3 linked regions of the Danio rerio genome follow. The protein of the gene in region 1 interacts with the protein of each later gene in a pairwise test. Links are inferred from orthologs where the notes say so. Each region holds a gene or a part of one and is shown in the gene's direction. Other genes may lie near its edges. The genes, in order: cdr2a, enkd1 and tchp.

Region 1 (6,365 bases):
TTCTATTGATGTCAACCTGAGGGTTTCCATAGCAACTGCAAATGAATACCCTCACACCGTTAGTTTGCTATAAGGGAATGATGTGCAAAAGAAAGCCCCGCCCCCTACTCAATATTCCATTTCCGTTGGAAGCACATCAACATGCTGAAATATAAGTTTCATCAACTTTGGGTTCACATGGACTTTAAACACTTATTTGTTTTACTTCTGGAATCTCAAAATGAATGTCTTTTGTGTATTCTACTTTATAATTTTGATGCCTAACATAAAAATGAAGTGCATCACCATAACATGAGTATAGTTTCAGTTTTCCAAGGTGGAGTTTATGTTCTTTTTCAAGCCTTAGAAGCCAGACCTGGGAATCAAATGGTTTATTTCTGTGTTGTTTGCACTGTAAGGCTTGTGAAGAATGTCAACTCCACCTTGGAATGCTCCACTTTAAGTAACCGTTACTTTGAAAAGCTGCTTTGCTCTTGAATGCGTTCTCAAACAGTGTGACCTAAATAGCTCCATACAAATAAACTCCATAATGAAAATGAATACTTTATTTTATAGTCCTCCCCCTCTTATTATTTATATATATATATATATATATATATATATATATATATATATACTTTTTTTGTTTTTGTTTTTTGATACATGCATATATCTCTGTGGGCCTAAATATAAATATAATATAAATATTCATTATATATATATATATATATATATATATATATATATATATATATATATATATATATATATATATATATATATATATATATATATGGGAAAAGTCAGTTTTAGTAAACAAAGTCTGTTATTATGATATTTGTTGTTTAACACTTTAAACTACAGTTTAATTGAATAAATATACAACTTACAATTGACAATATACTTTAGATTTTTTTCTTCTCAAATTTAATTTGATTCCTGTTAAAAGGAAAAATGTGTCCTTAAGGCTTAGTTTATTATTATTATTACTATTATTATTATTATTACTATTATTATTATTAATGATGATATTATTAATATTATTAATGATATTATTATTATTATTATTATTATTATTATTATATTATATTATTTTCTATTATTACTTATATAATTATTATTAATAATTATATTATAATAATTATTATTATGATTATTAATATTATTACTGATATTATTAGTATTATTATTAATCATATTATTATTATTTTTATAATTAAGTATATTGTTGTTGTTGTTGTTGTTGCTGTTGTTATTATTAATTATATTATTATTGTTAATATTAATATTTGTAGTAGTAGTAGTAGTAGTAGTAGTAGTAGTAGTATCATTATTGTTTATATTATTAAAATTAATTTTTATTATTATTATTATTATTATTATTATTATTAATTATATTATTATTATTATTATTATTATTATTGATATTATTAATTGTATTATTATTGATATTAATATTATTATGATTATAATAATTATTATTATTAATAGTATTATTGGTAATATTATTATTATTATAAAAAAAAAATAATTTGGTTGTGATTTTTGATGTTTGATTGTATTTTTTAATACTCTTGCATGTACATTATGAATGTATGAATTTAAAAACATCGTACCTTAACTTTACATTCATAACACTTGTTTTATGATGTGTTTATGATGTCTCCAGTCAGTGAACTAGTTCTGCTACATTGAATATTTCCCTCATGAAATGCCTGTTGTCCTGCAGGAGCTGGACCTCAGAGGGTCTGCATGAGGAGCGGTCGTGGCCTGTGCTTAGTGAGCGGTGTGTAGAGGAGGAAGAGGAGACCTCTACCCTTCAGCACAGCCTCCACAAGCTGAAGCAGCAGCTGGCGACGGAGCGAGCCCGACGGGTGGAGGCAGAGCGAGAGACTGAGCTGACTGTTCTGGAGAACAGTGCTCTGGAGGACCGCCTGAGCCTGCTGGAGGGAGCCCGCCGCAGACAGGTACAGCCTCCACCCGTTAGCGCATTAGCTTGGGCAACCTAAAAATATGTCTTTTTTTTTTTCGATTCGGACGTTTAGAAATGAAACTTAAGAGACAGATGATGTTTAATTTTACTGGTGATTCCAAATATGTAATGAGATCTTAAGCTTTGATGAATTTGATGTTTCTCCGCTCAGACAGAATGCCTGAGCATACTGCCCGAGAGGCGTTTCAAAGATGGCCGCCGAGTGAAATGGCTTCCCTTAAAAGAGACTTTGGTTGTTATTAGTGCTGCCAATCGATTAAAAAAAATTAACTAATTAATCGCACCTTTTTAAAAAAATTCATCGCGATTAATCGCATTTAAAATACTGAAACTTGTAATTTTGGCTATTCAAATGTAAAATTAATGTAAACGCAAGACAAAAACTATTTAAATTTAAAATATAATTGTTTATTAGAATTAAAATTCAAAATATAATTGTTTATTAGAATTTTTGTTTAACTTGTAACACAGATTTCTTCACGTAAACAACATACCCACAATAAACCATCAAGATCCTGGCTTGACAGGATCCCTCCTACCTCTTCAGGTAGCCTATGTCGCACCACTCACCCCCACCGTCCTTCAGGTACGTCTCGAGCGCACACGCCCCTACTCAGATATGTCGCTCACTCCACCCCTGACACCCTTCAACCGGCCTGACACAGACACACACACAACGCGCTGCAGACGTTTTGGCCCCAACGGCCTTCCATACTGGAGCGACTCCCCTCAGATTCAACACGCATGATCACGTTCATCAAATTTGCCTAAACTAAGCGTCCTAAAGTATTACTGTATTTCACAAGGATTCTGACACAACATCGTGAAGCATACGCTTTTGTTGCGTTTAATGAGGAAACATGCTAAACTTGGAGGGTTCATGCTGAAAGGCAGAGTAATGCCCTGTCTTTGACAGCTCGCGACTTCATCAGAGACTTTCTGAGTACATTCGCATAAGACACCAATACTCCGATTTTAATATGATTAAGATAATACTCTTATTAAAATTCTACCGTGTAGCCTAAGCAGTGATTTTATTACCTTAAAGCAACACCGAGTCACGAAATGCGGAGGATTTTCTTTCTGTTCGCCATGCGGTATCAACTTACAACAGATGTCGAAAGTTAAAAATGAAACACCCGAAATTGCATGAAACTCTGGAGAGCCTGGTTATGCGACTAATTGTTTTATACTGAAACTTGCCTTCAAAAAGTGGTTCCTTGGTCTTATCCACATTTCTTGCATGTTGAACACACGTCCACCACAACAGGAAGTAAAAAAAACCTGCAACTGCGTAAATTTATTTTAACCCGTTAATTCAGGGGTGTCCAAACTTTTTGGGCCGAGGGCCAGAAGCAAAAAAAAAAAAAAGTTATTCCCGGGCCATATATTAAATACATTACACAGACACGTGCATATATATATATATATATATATATATATATATATATATATATATATATATATATATATATATATATATATATATATATATATATATATATATATATATGTGTGTGTGTGTGTGTGTGTGTGTGTGTGTGTGTGTGTGTGAATATGTATATGTGTATATATGTATGTATGTATGTATGTAGCCTGTGTGTGTGTGTGTTATAGAATTATTTTAATTTGTTATTTTAATTCATCGTCCAACTGTGTTTCTAGAAAGACTTTCGTTTTTAAAATCTTGAATCTTCTCTGGGCAAATTACACTTGCAACACTCCTCCCTTATAAATTCTCCTTCAGTGAAAGGTTTCCTGTGCTGTGCGATTAGCTGGGCTACATCATAACTAGCCAGCGTAGAATTTTCTTGCACTTTATTAGCACGAAAAAAAACTGCTGTTGTTGAGCTGATAAGCCAGCTGCTATTTGTTTTACTTTTTGATCTCGTTCGGCACCAGTGTAAGAGCTGAAAGCCTGATGATTTATTTTATAATGTCTTTTAATATTATATTCCTTCATTACTGTAACTGATTCCTGGCAAATTAAACAGACACATTTCCCGCTGACCTCTGTGAAGAAATATTCTTTGCCCCATCCTGACTGAAATTTCCTGCACTCACTGTTGATTTTCCTTGTTCTTGCTTGTGCCATGGCTCGCCTAAACCTGATTATGAATTATGTTTCTTTCAGTTTGTTGTTCGGTCCGTTTTACTTCATAACAGGAACTGCTGCCTAATTGAAGGCATGTAATAGCGACACCCGGTGGTTATTTATTGAATTACACACATTTTTGTATAGTGGGCCAGTTTCTATAAAATATTCATAAAAAGCCTTGCGGGCCGCCACAAAACTGATCGCGGGCCGCAGATGGCCCGCGGGCCGTAGTTTGGACACCCCTGCGTTAATTATTTAAAATTAATCGCATGCGTTAGCGCACTAATTTTGACAGCGCTAGTTGTTATATAACATTCCGCCCAATAAAACAAGCTATCATCCATACTTGCATGATACATGCTGCCTTTGTTTGCACTCAGTGATGTTGAATTTGAAATGAAATGAAACAAAAACATGTGGTTGTTGCATAGGCTAATGATGTTTTCTGCAAATGACCAAAGTATTTTTATGAGCTGAAAGGCAGAATGCGAGTGTTTTCATCAAGCTCGACATTATATAACAGTTTCAGGTTGGGTTTTAGTGTTTGTAACATGTGACACACATTGTGACATGCGGTTTCACTTTTGACAGGCGGAGCTGGAGGCCGAGGTGGAGGAGCTGCGTCTGCTGTGGCGCTCCGAGTCTTCCAGCTCCAGACTGACCGACACGCTGCTGCCTGACAGTGTTTTCTTCAGTGCAGAGGAGCGGCTGGGGGTGGAGCCTGAATGTGAGGAGGAGGCGGAGTTTCCTCAGGGGCGCTGCCGCTGCAGCAGTGATAGTTACGTCAGAGGAGCTCGAGCGGAGGAGATCCGGCGTGGACACGAGCGCTCCTGCATTCGCAGAGCTCAGGCCGTCAAGCAGCGCGGCATCTCTCTGCTCAATGAGGTGGACGCTCAGTACAGCGCCCTGCAGCTCAAATACGAGGAGCTGCTGCGCCGCTGCCAGCACGGGGCCAACAGCCTCAGCCATAAAGCCGTCCAGACGCCCAAATCCCAGAGCTGCTCCGCCACAGACACCGCCTGCCTCTCCGACCAGCTCCATCAGCCCGAGTACAAAGCCCTGTTCAAAGAGATCTTCACCTGCATTCAGAAGACCAAAGAGGACCTGAGTGAGAACAGGGCTTTGCAGGCCCAGTAAGGTGTGGCTGTTTTAAAGGGGGAGTTCACCCAAAATTCTGATGAAATTCTGTCACCATTTACTCATCATTTGCTTGTTGCAAAACGGTTTGGGTTTCTTTCCTCTGTTGAACACTAAGGAAGATGAACTGAAGAGTGCTGAACAGAAAAGAGGATATCTTGAAGAATGCTGGGAAAACATCCATTGACATCCATAGTATTTGTTTGTTCCTACTATGGATGCCAATGGCTGCTTTTTCCCAACATTTTTCTTGTTTTGCGTTCAACAGAAGAAGCACTTGAGTAAATTATGAGTAAATGGTCATTGTTTTTGGGTGATCTGTCCCTTTAAGTTGAGTGTAGTGACTTTGCACTTGCTAATGTGATTTAACAGTGTGTTTGTGTGTGTGTCTATTGCACTATAACAGCTGTGCCTATACACAGTATACAACACCAAACCGTCCACATCCAGAACCTGAATGGTCTGAATGGGGTTTTTCTACTTTTATACGTCTTACTCTAATGAACGACACACACAAGCTGTGTGAATCAGCCATACCAGACGCCTGAGATACATCAGGTTTGGAGGAAGACTATTGTTATTAGTACTAACAACTACATAACACAGTTATGGAACTAACTTGATGTACATGATATACCATAATATTGGTGAACCTCACACAAGCTGCTAAAATGAGGTTTTACATCGAAAAATACAACAAAAACAACAAAAAAGCAATTGACATTGTAAATTTGAGCCAGTTTTTTAGGAAAATTTAACGTTTTTGTTGTTGTGTTTGAAATTACACGTTATCTTCATGACGAATGCCCCTAGTGCTGTGGCAATCATTTGGAGGAATGGATTTTACGATTGCGAAGTGCATTTCTATTCTATCTTGAATCGGCTCTGAGCTTAGTTTTCAACAGCAGATGGCACTCTAGGCTAGTATTTAGCAGCAGACAGGCTAGCTATAGCAACACACGGCATTCTGGACTAATTTTGAAAAGCCTAGAGCACCCTCTAATGTTAAAAATTAGCCTACATTTCCCATCTATTGTTAAAAACTAGCCTAAATCGCTGTCTAATTTTACAAACTAGCCTATCTGCTATAGCCAAAATTGCCATTTAATGTTAAAAACTAGCAAATGCTGTTAAAAACTAGCCTAAATCGCCATCTTA
Region 2 (6,057 bases), on another chromosome or scaffold:
CACCCCCCCACGACCAAAAGGTCTAGAATTTGTCCTTTGAATTATTTTATATATTATACAGTTGAAGTCAGAATTATTAGCCCCCTTTAAAAATTTTTTCTTCTTTTTTAAATATTTTGCAAATGATGTATAACAGAGCAAGGAAATTTTCACAGTATGTCTGATAATATTTTTCCTTCTGGAGAAAGTCTTATTTGTTTTATTTCGGCTAGAATAAAAGTAGTTATTAATTTTTTAAACACCATTTTAGGGACAAAATTATGAGCCCCTTTAAGCTATATTTTTTCTCGATATTCTACAAAACAAACCATCATTATACAATAACTTGCCTAATTACCCTAACCTGCCTAGTTACCCTAATTAACCCAGTGAAGCCTTTAAATGTCACTTTAAGCTGTATAGAAGTGTCTTGAAAAATATCTAGTCAAATATTATTTACTGTCATCATGGTAAAGTTAAAATAAATCAGTTATTAGAAATGAGTTATTAAAACTATTATGTTTAGAAATGTGTTGAAAAAATGTTCTCTCTGTTAAACAGAAATTGAGGAAAAAATAAACGCCCTAATATTTCAGGGGGGCTAATAATTCTGACTTCAACTGTATATATAATTACACACACATATATATATACATACATACATACATATATAAAATAATTACTGTAATATATTTTTATTCAATATAGGTAATAAAGTGTAATTTTTAATAACTCTGGCCAGTAATTTGAATCCCATAGAGCCTCAAAGCCTCAATAATGTGACGCGAGTCTAGTGACATAACCCACTGAGTAGTAACGTGAATCTTTGATGCGACATCCATACTAAGTAAGGAAATAGGTTGAAAAGAGCAAGAGAGGCAGAAAAGGCAGGCAGCTGTGTCATTATAGCAAAATATTGAACATATGTTCAAAAAGACTGCCAAACAGGGTAAGGCTAAAGTTACTTACTCCCTCACAGATGAAAATCTGTCCCTATCTGTGAGGTTCTAGGCTAACTGGCCGCATTAGCTGGGAAGTCCTGTTTATTTATTGACTTGTCCAGTACATGACCTCCCTTTGCTTATTTTTTTCAAATAACTGTCCTACGAAGGCTTTAATAGCCAGCGGAGTCCTCAGCTGTCAGATGTCACTTCACAGCAAAAGGCGCTAATCCCATCACGTCTGTGTTTTTGAGGCTGTTTGGTCACTTCATTCGTTTTATTCTGATCGGATATAAATCCGATCGCTCAAACCACTTCAGAAGGTGATCTGGGATGCATTCCAGATGAAATTGGACAGGTTTTTAGACAAAATTAATATAAATAAAACTAATTATGACCTGGAGATAATCTGACCTGCGCCTGAAACACCTGTGGGTGCGCTTTTACAGCCAAAATTCTATTAAAATATGTTTACTGTAAGCATTAAACGTGTTCTAACATTTCAGGCCTGTAGCCAGGGGGGGGGTTCGGAAGACCCACCCCACACTGACAAAGGTCCAGAATTTGTCCCATATATGAGCTCATTTGTCCTATTCTGACTGCTATGCCATCATAAATAATGAAAATAATCCATCAAAAAAGGCTTTAAGACCAAACGTAATCCTCTGATAGCTGTTGCTTCGACTCTAATCTGATGTAAGAGAAGTCTTCTTTCACTACTGTATCGTTTTTAAACAGAGAAAACATTTTACAGCCAACTTTATTTTAAATCTTGGACCTTATTTCTGAAATAATAATGAGCAATAAAAAGGCGTGAAGCACCAGAAGCGGACCATAATAAATTAATTTGAATATATTTTGCCTGTTGTTGACATCCAGGAATTTTCAAATGTACTTTTTTTTTTTTTTACCGAAGAGGCTAGAAAAATTCAGAAGAATTTATTATTATTGTTTTTATTATTATTATTATGTTTTAATTATAATTTTTTATTGAAATGGCCAAATTGTGACTGAGGACAGTTGAATGTGCTGACAAGTTTGTTTTTTGTCTAATAAATGACAGTAGGCTACAGTTTTTTTACTTTAAAACTTTAACAGATTGCAAGCTATTTAATCTTTCTCGCCTGAAAGCCAAAACAAAGGTACGCGAGACGCTGATCAGAGACATGCTTTTTGCTGACGATGCTGCAGTCACCACACACACCCAGGAAGAACTACAGTTGCTGATGAGCCGCTTTTCCATGGCCTGCAAAGACTTTGGGCTGACCATCAGTTTGAAAAAAACAAATGTCTTGAGCCAGGACACTGCCACTCCACCAGCCATCACAGTAGATGATTACCAGCTTGATGTCGTCCACCAGTTCACGTACTTGGGCTCCACCATCACCGATAACCTCTCCCTGGATGCTGAGCTTGACAGGAGGATCGGGAAGGCAGCCTCTACTCTAGCCCGCCTGACAACCCGAGTGTGGACAAACCATAGGCTGACAACTGCAACAAAGATGGCAGTGTACAACACTTGCGTCATCAGCACTCTGCTGTATGGGAGTGAGACATGGACCACCTATGCAAGACAGGAGAGGAGACTGAACACCTTCCACCTAAGAGGTCTGCGTCGCATTCTGGGCATTACCTGGCAGGACAAAGTCTCCAATGTCAAAGTCTTGACTCGAGCCGGCCTTCCCAGCATGGATACCATGCTCCGACAACGTCGCCTGCGCTGGCTTGGTCATGTGCGCCGTATGGAGGATGGGAGAATTCCAAAGGATATCCTTTACGGAGAACTCTCATCTGGGAAGAGAACCACAGGACGCCCATTTCTGAGATTTAAAGATGTCGTGAAGAGGGACATGAAGGCCCTTGACATAAACACCAAGTCCTGGGAAGACCTCGCAGCAGACCGCCTGAAATGGAGGTGCACCCTGACCAAACAGCTCAAGTCAGGTGAGAAGAACATTATGCGTGCGTCAGAGGACAAGCGAGTTCACCGAAAGGTGCAGAGCGTCAGCCAGGGAGCCACCTATCAATGCGACTGCTGCGGTAAAGAATGCCTCTCCCGTATTGGTCTCTTCAGCCACCAACGACGCTGTCTCAGACAATCAGTCATGCCTTAAGATAAGAGCTAGGATACGTCATCCATGTTCAACACTGACCGACGGAGGCCTACTAAGATGAGATCTGACTAGCTAATCCAGCAAAAATGTCACCAAAATGCAGTATTTAAATCTCATTGTTAAATAGAAACTGAGGCGTGTAACTGCAAAAAGGTCCACTTTTTGAGAAAAACAGAACCACCTCTTTCACCAGGCTGGCTACAGGCCTGTCCAAGTATAGCATTAGCAGTAATTTTTTACCTTGTGGGGACAACTTTGTGGTCTAATGGGGAAAAACAGCTCATAAATTAGACAGAACAAAGTATTTTGACATTGTATTTTGACATGACTGTTTTCAGTGGGGGTTGGGTTGGGTATGGGGAGTGAAATATACAGTAAAGAGCCCAAAACATGAAAGCCCAACTTTTGTGTGTGTGTGTGTGTGTGTGTGTGTGTGTGTGTGTGTGTGTGTGTGTGTGTGTGTGTGTGTGTGTGTGTAGCTCACAGGTCTCTGGTCAGTGAACTGCTGTCTCTCCCAGTGAAAGCGGACACTCTGAGCATTCGTTCTAGACGGGCTGATCTGGACCAGCGTCTCTCTGAGGTGGAGGAGGCCATCAAGATCTTCTCACGGGACAAAGTCTATGTGAAAGTGGACTCTTAAACTGCTCTGAGATCAGACCGTTTCTACTGCGCTTATATGAGTTTCATGAGTTCCCTGCATTTCAGTGCTGGATGCTTTAGTTGATTTATTTCTTACTAATGATATTCTGTATTTATGCGTGCTTTGGTAAATCATCATTGTTAAAAGTTCCAGTTAGGATGTGAAAAGTAGTGCTGGCCAAAAATGAATCACGATTAATAGCACCTAAAATAAAAGTTTGTTTTGACATCATTTAAGTGGGTGTACTGTTTATATTTATTACGTATATATAAATACACACATGCATGAATATATTTGAAAAAAGTTTATGCATATATAGATATAAAATAAATATGTCTATGATACTATTTATATATACATTAATATATCAATGTAGCAAAGCTGTTTTGTATAGTTTTGTTATTAATATTATTTATCTTGAATGTGATTAATCGCAATTAATCTTTGACCAGCACTATTAAATGTCGAAAATTATGACATGTGAAAACTATGAATATTAAAATTCTAAATTATGAGACAAAAATTGACATTTGGATGTTAATTAGATGCTAAATGAAAGATTAAAAATAAGAATAAAATCCTAAATTAAAGTTATAATGACATAAATAATTAAGATTATTAGATTTATTACCTTTTTTTTTTTTTTTTACTTTTTTCATCAGTTATGACATAGTGGTATGGTATAACATGCTAAAAATATGATATACTACATTATAATTATCACAAGTCAAAAATTTGAAGAAAAACACAATTTGAAAATTAAATAAAATGTATTATTATATCTATGAGATAAAATTTTTAATGACAAGAGTTTTTTTTATCATTATGACTTATTATTTCATAAATTTTGAAAGAAAATATCAAAATTGTGACACACTCAGACAGTTATGAGAGTAGTTATTAGAATTTTGTTTACAATCACATTAATAGCAAAAAAATGTGAATTATTAAAGTACAATTATGACATACTAAATCATAATTCTGAAAGAAATATGACAATATTAATTTGTCATAATAGTGACTTAGTTTGACATGGAGTCTTAATTATGACAGTATTATTTTAAATGTAAGATAGTATATAGTTATGACATAAATCATAAAAAGTCATGAGAATTTAAATTATTATTAATTAAAATGTTCCTATTTTGTCGTAATTCTGGACTTCTTTTGTCATTAAATGTCATAATTTAACATTTACGTCATTATTTTCTAATTCATGATGTAGATATCCTCAATTTTGTTAAGAATAAAATTTCTCTGATATCATTTTTAACATTTTATTCAATAATTGTGCATTTTATGTCATAGTTATGATTTACCAAAGTATGTTTTCATCTAATGTGACAGAAATCGGTTTTCATGGTGGATTTTCTTCATGATAGTTCATAATTCTCTGTAAATGAGGGTGTTTTTACTTGCAGATTGTGTGATCAAAGTATTCCTGCTGCCATGTACAGTTACAGTTATTAAATGTCTATTATGGCAAGGTGCTATCCTTCATGCATAATGTCAGTCAAATACATTTTGATAGAGCAGTCTTTACATGGCAGTGGTGCTTGTTTTCATTCATTCATTTTATTTGGCTCAGTCCCTTTGATTCATCAAGGATTCTCACAGTGGAATGAACCGCCAACTATTCCAGCATATGTTTTACACAGCGGATGCCCTTCCAGCTGCAACCCAGTACTTGGAAGCACCCATACACACTCATTCCTCATTCACACACACACTACGGCCAATTTAGTCCCTCAATTTCCCTACAGCGCATGTGCTTGGACTGTAGGGGAAATCGACGCACCTGGAGAAAAGCTCACGCCAACATAAGAAGAACATGCAAACTCCACACAGAAATGCCAAATGACCCAGCTGGGACTTCTTCTTGCCGTGACAGTGCTAATCACTGAGCCACATTTGTCAATGTGTAATCTTATATTTCACCTGATTTTCTGTTTTAAACAGCAACAGCACGGTTTGTTTTGATCATGTATGAAGTTTTTAATTCCAAAAAGTGGCTTAAAATATGTTTGCATTACACTATAAACTGTAATAGTAATACCTTTGTGTTAATGCAGCACATAAAAGTCAGAAAATTGCTTACTTTTAGAGTAAAACCTCATAATTTTGCTTAAATTGTGTTTTTTTCTGTCTGTCTTAATGATATATTGACATATTCCTGTAGCATTTGGACATCTGTGTAATCCGATCATCACATATTCTGTGGCCAGTGTAATTTTAAAGCGAGTGGGCGTGTCAGGTTATTTAAATATGTAATGAAGGTTTCTGATTGGGTAGCGTAGGCATAACGGGCGTGTTGTGCTTCTAAGCCCCGCCCCCACTATTTTGCGTGGCTACAGTGCTAATGCTAAGGCTTTGTCCAGTTTTG
Region 3 (7,165 bases), on another chromosome or scaffold:
TCTTTAATCATCCTAGCAGAGTTAAAAGTTGTTTATAAGATTAAATGTCCATTAATGTAATGGGGTTGGCCACAATTCATGCAATAATAACTGTAAAATACACAAATCAATCACTCTTACATGCTTATTGTGTAAAGACTAAGACTGCATCCAAGGTTGTAAACTTCTTAAATATTAATAGTCATTTCTTTAAAGTGACGATGAGCAAGTTTGAATTTTCATTACTTTCACTGTTGCTACTTCAGTAATTTTCTCAGAGCATTTGCTAGTACTATAAAAAGGAACGATCTGTCCTATTTCTTTTAGTGAGATTATGAAGTGGGCATTCAATGGACACTTTACTATCACACGAGGCCACAAGAGAGGATTTGTGAACGGTATTAAAGCACCCCAGAGAGATACCCGATTCAAATGTTATCACTCGATTGAATGGGCATTATGAGTGGTTATCGGCTGATAGATATGGGTCAGTAAGGGCCTTCTGCAACTTCCTGTTAGTCTCAGAAGGCTGTTATCATACATCCACATGGTTAATTAGCTATACTAACAAAGAAGACTCCACACCCAAATCTGTTTTTATATTAGTGGCGGTTGGGTTTAGGGTTGGGGTAGACGTTAATAAAATACAATTAATGGAAAATGTAATATTTAATATAATTATCATGGTTAATCGGTTATACTGATAAAGATGACTTCAGATCCACATCTGCTTTTACAGTACTGTGATGGCTGGGTTTAGGGTTGGGGTAGGGGTAAACGTTACTAAACTACAATTAATGGAAAAAAAAATAATAATCGAAATAATTCTCGTTCATTTACAGCCATAGCTGTATATAATTTATAGCTGATTTACAATTTGGATTAATGATAACAGCCTTATGAGCCTACTAGTAGGCGCATATCTATCATATAACATATCTATCTGCTGATAACCACTGATAACGCTCATTCAATCTTGGAGACGTCTATTTGATGTTTGTCTTTACATCTTTTAGATATTTATCAGTGCGTTTTCTCATCTGCAATACATGTATTGGACATTTCCATTTGGACATTGCTGATAATATGATAATATAAGGTGTATATCATTTTGAATGTTACTACAGCATACATTTTAAAGATATTTATCAGACTTTGTACTTGCAGGTGTGTGCGATATGCAAAACTGATGCTTATAAAATGACAACATGGCGAATGTAGTACATAAAGATTATATTCATGATTCTCACATTTGTACTATATATACTTTTTATTGGACAAAAATGTATAATTAAGCAAATTAAGTGAATTCAATGGACTTTACTATCCTATGGGGCCACAGGAGTAAATATGTGAGGTGATAATGACACCATGGAACATGTAGATGTGGTATTTCTCATTCAATGTTATACAATATATAATAGCCCTATTACACTGTTATTAGTGAATATGGGTTCAACCAATAAACTGTAAAGAATCAGTAACATGTTTCTTTTTTTTAACTAGGTATAATGATGTACCATTATTTCCCTCACAGTTCAACCACTGAATATTAAAATTCAAATTCAGAATTAATTACTTTTGTCAGACCATGAATAACCCCAAAAACTAGAGATGAATTTTTCCCTGCAAAGTTAAGAATTCATTCATTCATTTTCTTGGCTTAGTCCCTTTAAAGTTAAGGACAGTTCACCCCATAAATAAAATTATGTCATTATTTTCACTCACTTAATTCTCTTGTGTCAAACCAGTTTGATTGTATGCCTATTTCTTCTGGAAAGAGCTGGAAACCTGTAACCACCCTACTGAAAAAAAAACCTTAAACCGGGCAAGGCTGGTTGGCTGGTTTTAGCTGGTCGACTAGCCTGGTTTTAAAGGGGTTTTGGCCCTTTCCAGGCTGGTTTCCAGTTATTTCCAGCCTGATCTGAGCTGGTCAGGCTGCTAAGAAAATGACCAGCTAAAACCAGCTTGAGCAGCCTGGTTTAAGCTGGACAGCTGGTTTTGGCTGGTCAAGCTGGTTTTAGCTGGTCACCTCCCAGCCTTTCCAGCTAAGACCAGGCTGGAAATAACTGAAACCTGTCTAAAATCAAGCGGGTCGACCAGCTAAAACCAGCGAACCAACTTAGGCTGTTTTAAGCTGGTTTTTTTCCCCTGCAGGACCTTGACATCCATAGTAGACATACCTATTTGTTTTTCCAACAATGAAAGTGAATGGTTACAGGTTTTTAGCTTTCTGTTGAACACAAAAGATTGTTTTTAAAGAAGAAAGAAACTCATAACGGTTTATAACCATCTGAGAAACTAAGGTAAATATTTCGGTGAACTCCCCTTATGCGACATCTCCATGTTTTGAACATGCCTTAATTTAATCTATTGCTTCATTTGTTAGTTTTTTTTATTGGTTTAAACGTTTTCTACTGTAAACTTTTATGTGATGATATTGCTATATTTATCTGATACAAATTAATGTAGAAATATACCCCAGCTATAAACCCCTGCCTGCTTGTACCTCGTCACTCGCCGTAGGTAACCAGGAAGTAGAGGCGTAACCAAGTGGACCGCTTCTTTTTTGGTGTTTTGTTTACACATCCGCCGTCGTTAACCGCTTTCCTCTGACTACAGTTTCGTTAAAATACGTACAAATATCAACGTGAATGTAGAACTCACTTAGCAAGTCGATTCTAAAATCTACTGACTTATTTTGTAGTGCGATCAATAACGTTAATAATCCTCATTTGCAGCATTATGTTGCCATGACTGCTCCAGTGATCGCAAGTCAAGATCTCCGGTGAGAAGTAACGTTAAACTCGGTCTCCTCAGACCCATGGCTCTCCCGACGCTCTCCGCACACTGGCCGAGTCGGGTGCGGACTCTGGAGCAGCAGCTGGTGCGGCAGCGGGAACAGGAGGCGCGGCTGAGGCGACAGTGGGAGCAGCACTCGCAGTACTTTAGGGAGCAGGATGTCCGCAGCAGTAAACAGGCGCAGTGGAGCTCACGACAGTCCTTTCATCGCAGGTGCTTATACCTCCTGTAGCTTATGCATTGAATGTGTTATTTAAACTATTGCCGACACTTCAGCCAACAACAGCAACAGTTTTCCACCAGTTTCCAAAGCATTAGTTCAGATTTGGGTTATAATCCTGCTGAAAGAAAACAGCATATGCTGGTAAGGTATGTTTTAATGCTGGTTTTTGCTGGTCAAGACCATCGTAAACCAGCTTCAAAACTTACCATACCAGCGTAGCCTATGCAAGGAGTGTCCAAACTTGGTCCTGGAGGGACGGTGTCCTGCATATTTTAGTTCCAACCCCAATCCACACCTGAACCAGCGGATCAAACTAGGTAAACTAGAAACTTCCAGAGAGCTGTGTTGACACCCTGCATAGGACACCCTATCCAGGACCAAGTTTGGACATCCCTGGCCTATGCTGTAGTTTTCAGTGGAGACTTTTGTGTTTAGTTTTTGTATTCAATGTAAAATAAAATAATATTACTGTATGCTATGTGCAGATGTATGCTCAGTATTTTCAATTTGAATCTGGCCTAAATAATGTCTTGTCATTACTAATAAATACATTAAAGGGGTAGTTCACCCCAAAATGTAAAATTCATTACCATTTACTCACACTCTGGTGTTTCTAAAGTTTTATGAATCTATTTCTTCTGTTGAACACAAAGCAAGATATTGAAGAGTGAAGAGCAGCAACCATTGGCATCCAAAAAATAGTCTGTTTTGTCCCACATTCTTCAAAATCTCTTTTGTACTCTTTTGGACTTAAAGTAAAAAATGAAATCAAAACTAAACATTATAATTTTCTTAGATCACATGGCCAGTTTTGTGGTAAACAATTCTTCTGTGCATGTCATTTAGAAAAGCAAAAATGGTTTGCCTTTTAAAAGTCTGAAAATGCACTTCCTGTTTGTTTTCAGTTAAATTCTCATATTACAACGTCTTGGGTATTGGGTGTGGTTATAATACTTAACCATGCCCCCTCTAACTGTCAGTTTTGACAACAAACAGAAATGATGAGGAAGAGGTATCTGTTAGGTTGCAATAACTCTCCCCAAACCCTTTTCCTAATCTTTCAGAGTGAAATGCCTACTATACTACATCCAATCAGCTCACAGTACAAAAAAACAAGCCACACCCACTGTTTTCTCATTTAATATTCTTTTTCTCTAGGAACTGCGTAACAATACAGTGGGAAAAAAGGGTCGCAGATTCCAGTTCATGCGGTCTTTAAAGGGATAGTTCACCCAAAGTCATTTTTTTCATTTTCCAGTTGTTCCAAACCTGTTTATGCTTTTTTTTTGTTTGAATACAAGTAAAATATTTTGAGGAATGTTGGAAAACAGCAGTTCAACAGTTCTGCAAAAGTAAGAAATTTAGTTTAGAATCACTTAAGGCTGAGCAAATGGTGAGGAAATGTTCATTTGTGGTTAAACTAGCCCTTTAATAAAATAATTATTCAAATAGTTAAATATGACACGTTATTGAATATGATATTCTTACCTTTTATCAAGGCTGAGATGTCTTTCTGAAAAGTAAAAAATTTATGGTGTGTAAAAGTTCACTCCTGTTTTTTTGGCAGTACTGGTTCTGAAAGTATCTTTCCTTACATTTTTCTTAAGTAGTTGTTACATTTTTATAAACCAAGTACTAAACCAAACAGCTATGAGGAGAATTACAGCATTACACACTTTGATTTGAGGTAAAAAAAACATAAATCTGACAAAACTATACAAAAGTTTAACACTGCATACTTAATGCCTATAAGGAGGAGGATAAATTGCATCATCATACTGCAAATAAACATTTATGTGAATTAAAAAAAAACTTATTTTCTTGATCTTGTAGTATGTCAGCATTTCAGCGGGACCGCATGAGGGAGGAGAAGCAGCGGAAACTAGAGGAGCGCAGGGAGCGTCTGAGGACGATGCTTCAGGAGGAGAGAGATCAGCTGGAGGCAGAGCTCAGAAATATTCATCCAGATAGAGACACGCTAGCCAGACAGCTAGTGGAAAAAACAGACGCCCTCCGTTCTGCTAGGGAGGAGAGGAGGAAAAATGTATGAACACTAATTGTTCTGTCATAAAGCCCTGTTATGTTATCTGATTGAATGTCATATCTGATCTGATATGTCGATTTGTTTTATCTTCTTCAGCTTGCACAGGAGCTGCTGAGGGAACACTGGAAGCAGAACAACTCACAACTGCGGAAGGTCAGTCATACGTTGAGATATAAATAAATGAATATCTCAAAACTTGACATCTATGTTAGTTATGGGTGTTATTAAGAGTATTTAAAGTGTGAAGAAACATTTTCTTATTAAGGAAAATATATATAACGTCAATAAGCAAGTATGCTTTAAATTGAATAAAACGCCAGTAAAGTTTGTACAGCTGGCTCTGCCGCTCTCATATAGTCACCATCTGAAGCAAAGCAGGGCTGCACATGGTCAGTACCTGGATGTGAGACAAATGGGAGCTCTAGGTTGCTGCCGAAAGAGGTGTTAGTGAGTCCAGCTGGGGGTGCTCAATCTGCTGTCTGTGTGGGGTCTTAACGCCCCAGTATAGTGAACGGGACATTTTTCTCGTCTTTTTTTTTGGATGAGACGTTAAACCAAGGTCCTGGTACTCTCTGTGGTCAATGAAAATCCTTTGAAATTAACGTGTCCTGGCCAAATCTGCTCAATGGCTTCTGTCCATCATGGTTTACTAACCATCCCCATATCAGTTTGCGTTCACACCAAAATTCGCGAGAGCATCAAAGTCGCCGGAAGTCATTCATTTTTAATTAGAGACTGCGACTATAAGCAGCGAGGAGGATTTTTTAATTTCTTTTTTCTAAAAAACATTGTGAATCTCACTCTAACTATAAGGACAGTACAGAACAGTATTGCTGCTTCAGAATATTTCAGACAAATGGGCACCTATTGGATAAGTGGAGCTAAGCCACACACACAACAACATGGGCTTCCATAGGTAAATAAATTTGATAAAAAAGTGTGCAACATTTTTACACTCGAAAGCACGTTTTAAGCTGTAAAGGTAGACAGCGTTGTTGTCAGGGCTTCATCACACTGGCTCCTGGTGGTGGATGAGAAGATTCCCGCCAAAATTTGCAAAGTGTTTTGAGTACTCAGAAAAGCGAAAAGCTCTATTTAAATGAAAGTAATTAATAATAATTATTATTATTTATGTTACAAAAGTTTTTTGTCAAGCAAATGCTATTCTTTTTTTAATAAAAAATCTCATCATATCAATTTCCATAAAAATATTAAACAGCACGATAATGTTCAATGTTGATAATATAAAATGAAATGTAATAATATAATAATATATTATATATTTATTTAAAACCATTCTTAAAAAATTATAGAGTACTATAAATTTTGGAATAATAGTGTCACATAAAAGTCAACATTATACTTGCGCTATTAAACTCTCAAACTACAGGAATAGCTTGTTTATTTTCACTTGTAACTTTTTATATATAATTTATTATTATTATTATTATTATTATTATTATAATTGTTTCTTATTATTCATTCCTACAGAGGAATCAAGCCATGATTTTTATGAAAATGTAGTTAGACGCAAGTTGTAAGCTAATACAGCATGTGATGAGTTTCTTCCGTGACTGAACTGTAACTCTGAGCTCAGGATTCGGTTCCGAACACACGCAACCACTTCTGGAGCATTATTCAATCAGACATCTGAGTGTCTCGAATGATTGTGTGTGTGCAGGTGGAGTCAGAGCTGCACAAAGATCACATTGTGAGTCAGTGGCAGGTTCAACAGCAAGAGAAAAAACAGGTAAGACATGTTAAATGTCGGCACAAGCATGAATGCAACTCGGCTGCTTGTGTTTGAATAATCTTACTAGACAAAGGATTGCTAGGTTCAACATCTCCAGTGTAATATAAGTCTGTTCTGTAATACTCAGGCTGATGAGAGAACTCAGGAGGAGAAACAGCGATTTGAGAATGAGTATGAAAGGACCAGACAGGAAGCTCTGGAAAGAATGAGGAAAGAAGAGGAGAACAGAAAATGGGAGGAAAAGAAGCGAGCTGAGGAGCTCCTTAAACAGATGGAGGAGCTCAAACTACGGGAACAGGAAGTACGGAATTACTGTAATACGCACTTACACTAGCCTCCCTTTGAATTTATTATTATTTTTTTA

The links.
Region 2: the proteins of cdr2a (region 1) and enkd1 interact in binary tests that used the Homo sapiens proteins (3 or more experiments, as listed by UniProt). The two-hybrid records come from large-scale screens. The link is inferred for Danio rerio from reciprocal best matches to the Homo sapiens genes CDR2 and ENKD1.
Region 3: the proteins of cdr2a (region 1) and tchp interact in binary tests that used the Homo sapiens proteins (3 or more experiments, as listed by UniProt). The two-hybrid records come from large-scale screens. The link is inferred for Danio rerio from reciprocal best matches to the Homo sapiens genes CDR2 and TCHP.

Annotation. Positions count from the first base shown.
Region 1 is NC_133178.1:62,631,696-62,638,060, reverse strand, and holds part of cdr2a (cerebellar degeneration-related protein 2), read left to right. Parts: intron 1-1,708; coding exon 1,709-1,946; intron 1,947-4,661; coding exon 4,662-5,207; 3' UTR 5,208-6,365.
Region 2 is NC_133183.1:3,680,523-3,686,579, forward strand, and holds the end of enkd1 (enkurin domain-containing protein 1), read left to right. Parts: intron 1-3,513; coding exon 3,514-3,674; downstream 3,675-6,057. UniProt on the Homo sapiens protein: Microtubule-binding protein which regulates microtubule organization and stability. Promotes the stability of astral microtubules and facilitates the proper orientation of the mitotic spindle.
Region 3 is NC_133180.1:20,593,257-20,600,421, forward strand, and holds the start of tchp (trichoplein keratin filament-binding protein), read left to right. Parts: upstream 1-2,581; 5' UTR 2,582-2,803; coding exon 2,804-2,994; exon of another isoform or gene 2,995-3,119; intron 3,120-3,210; exon of another isoform or gene 3,211-3,359; intron 3,360-4,837; coding exon 4,838-5,048; intron 5,049-5,144; coding exon 5,145-5,201; intron 5,202-6,729; coding exon 6,730-6,798; intron 6,799-6,928; coding exon 6,929-7,102; intron 7,103-7,165. UniProt on the Homo sapiens protein: Tumor suppressor which has the ability to inhibit cell growth and be pro-apoptotic during cell stress. Inhibits cell growth in bladder and prostate cancer cells by a down-regulation of HSPB1 by inhibiting its phosphorylation.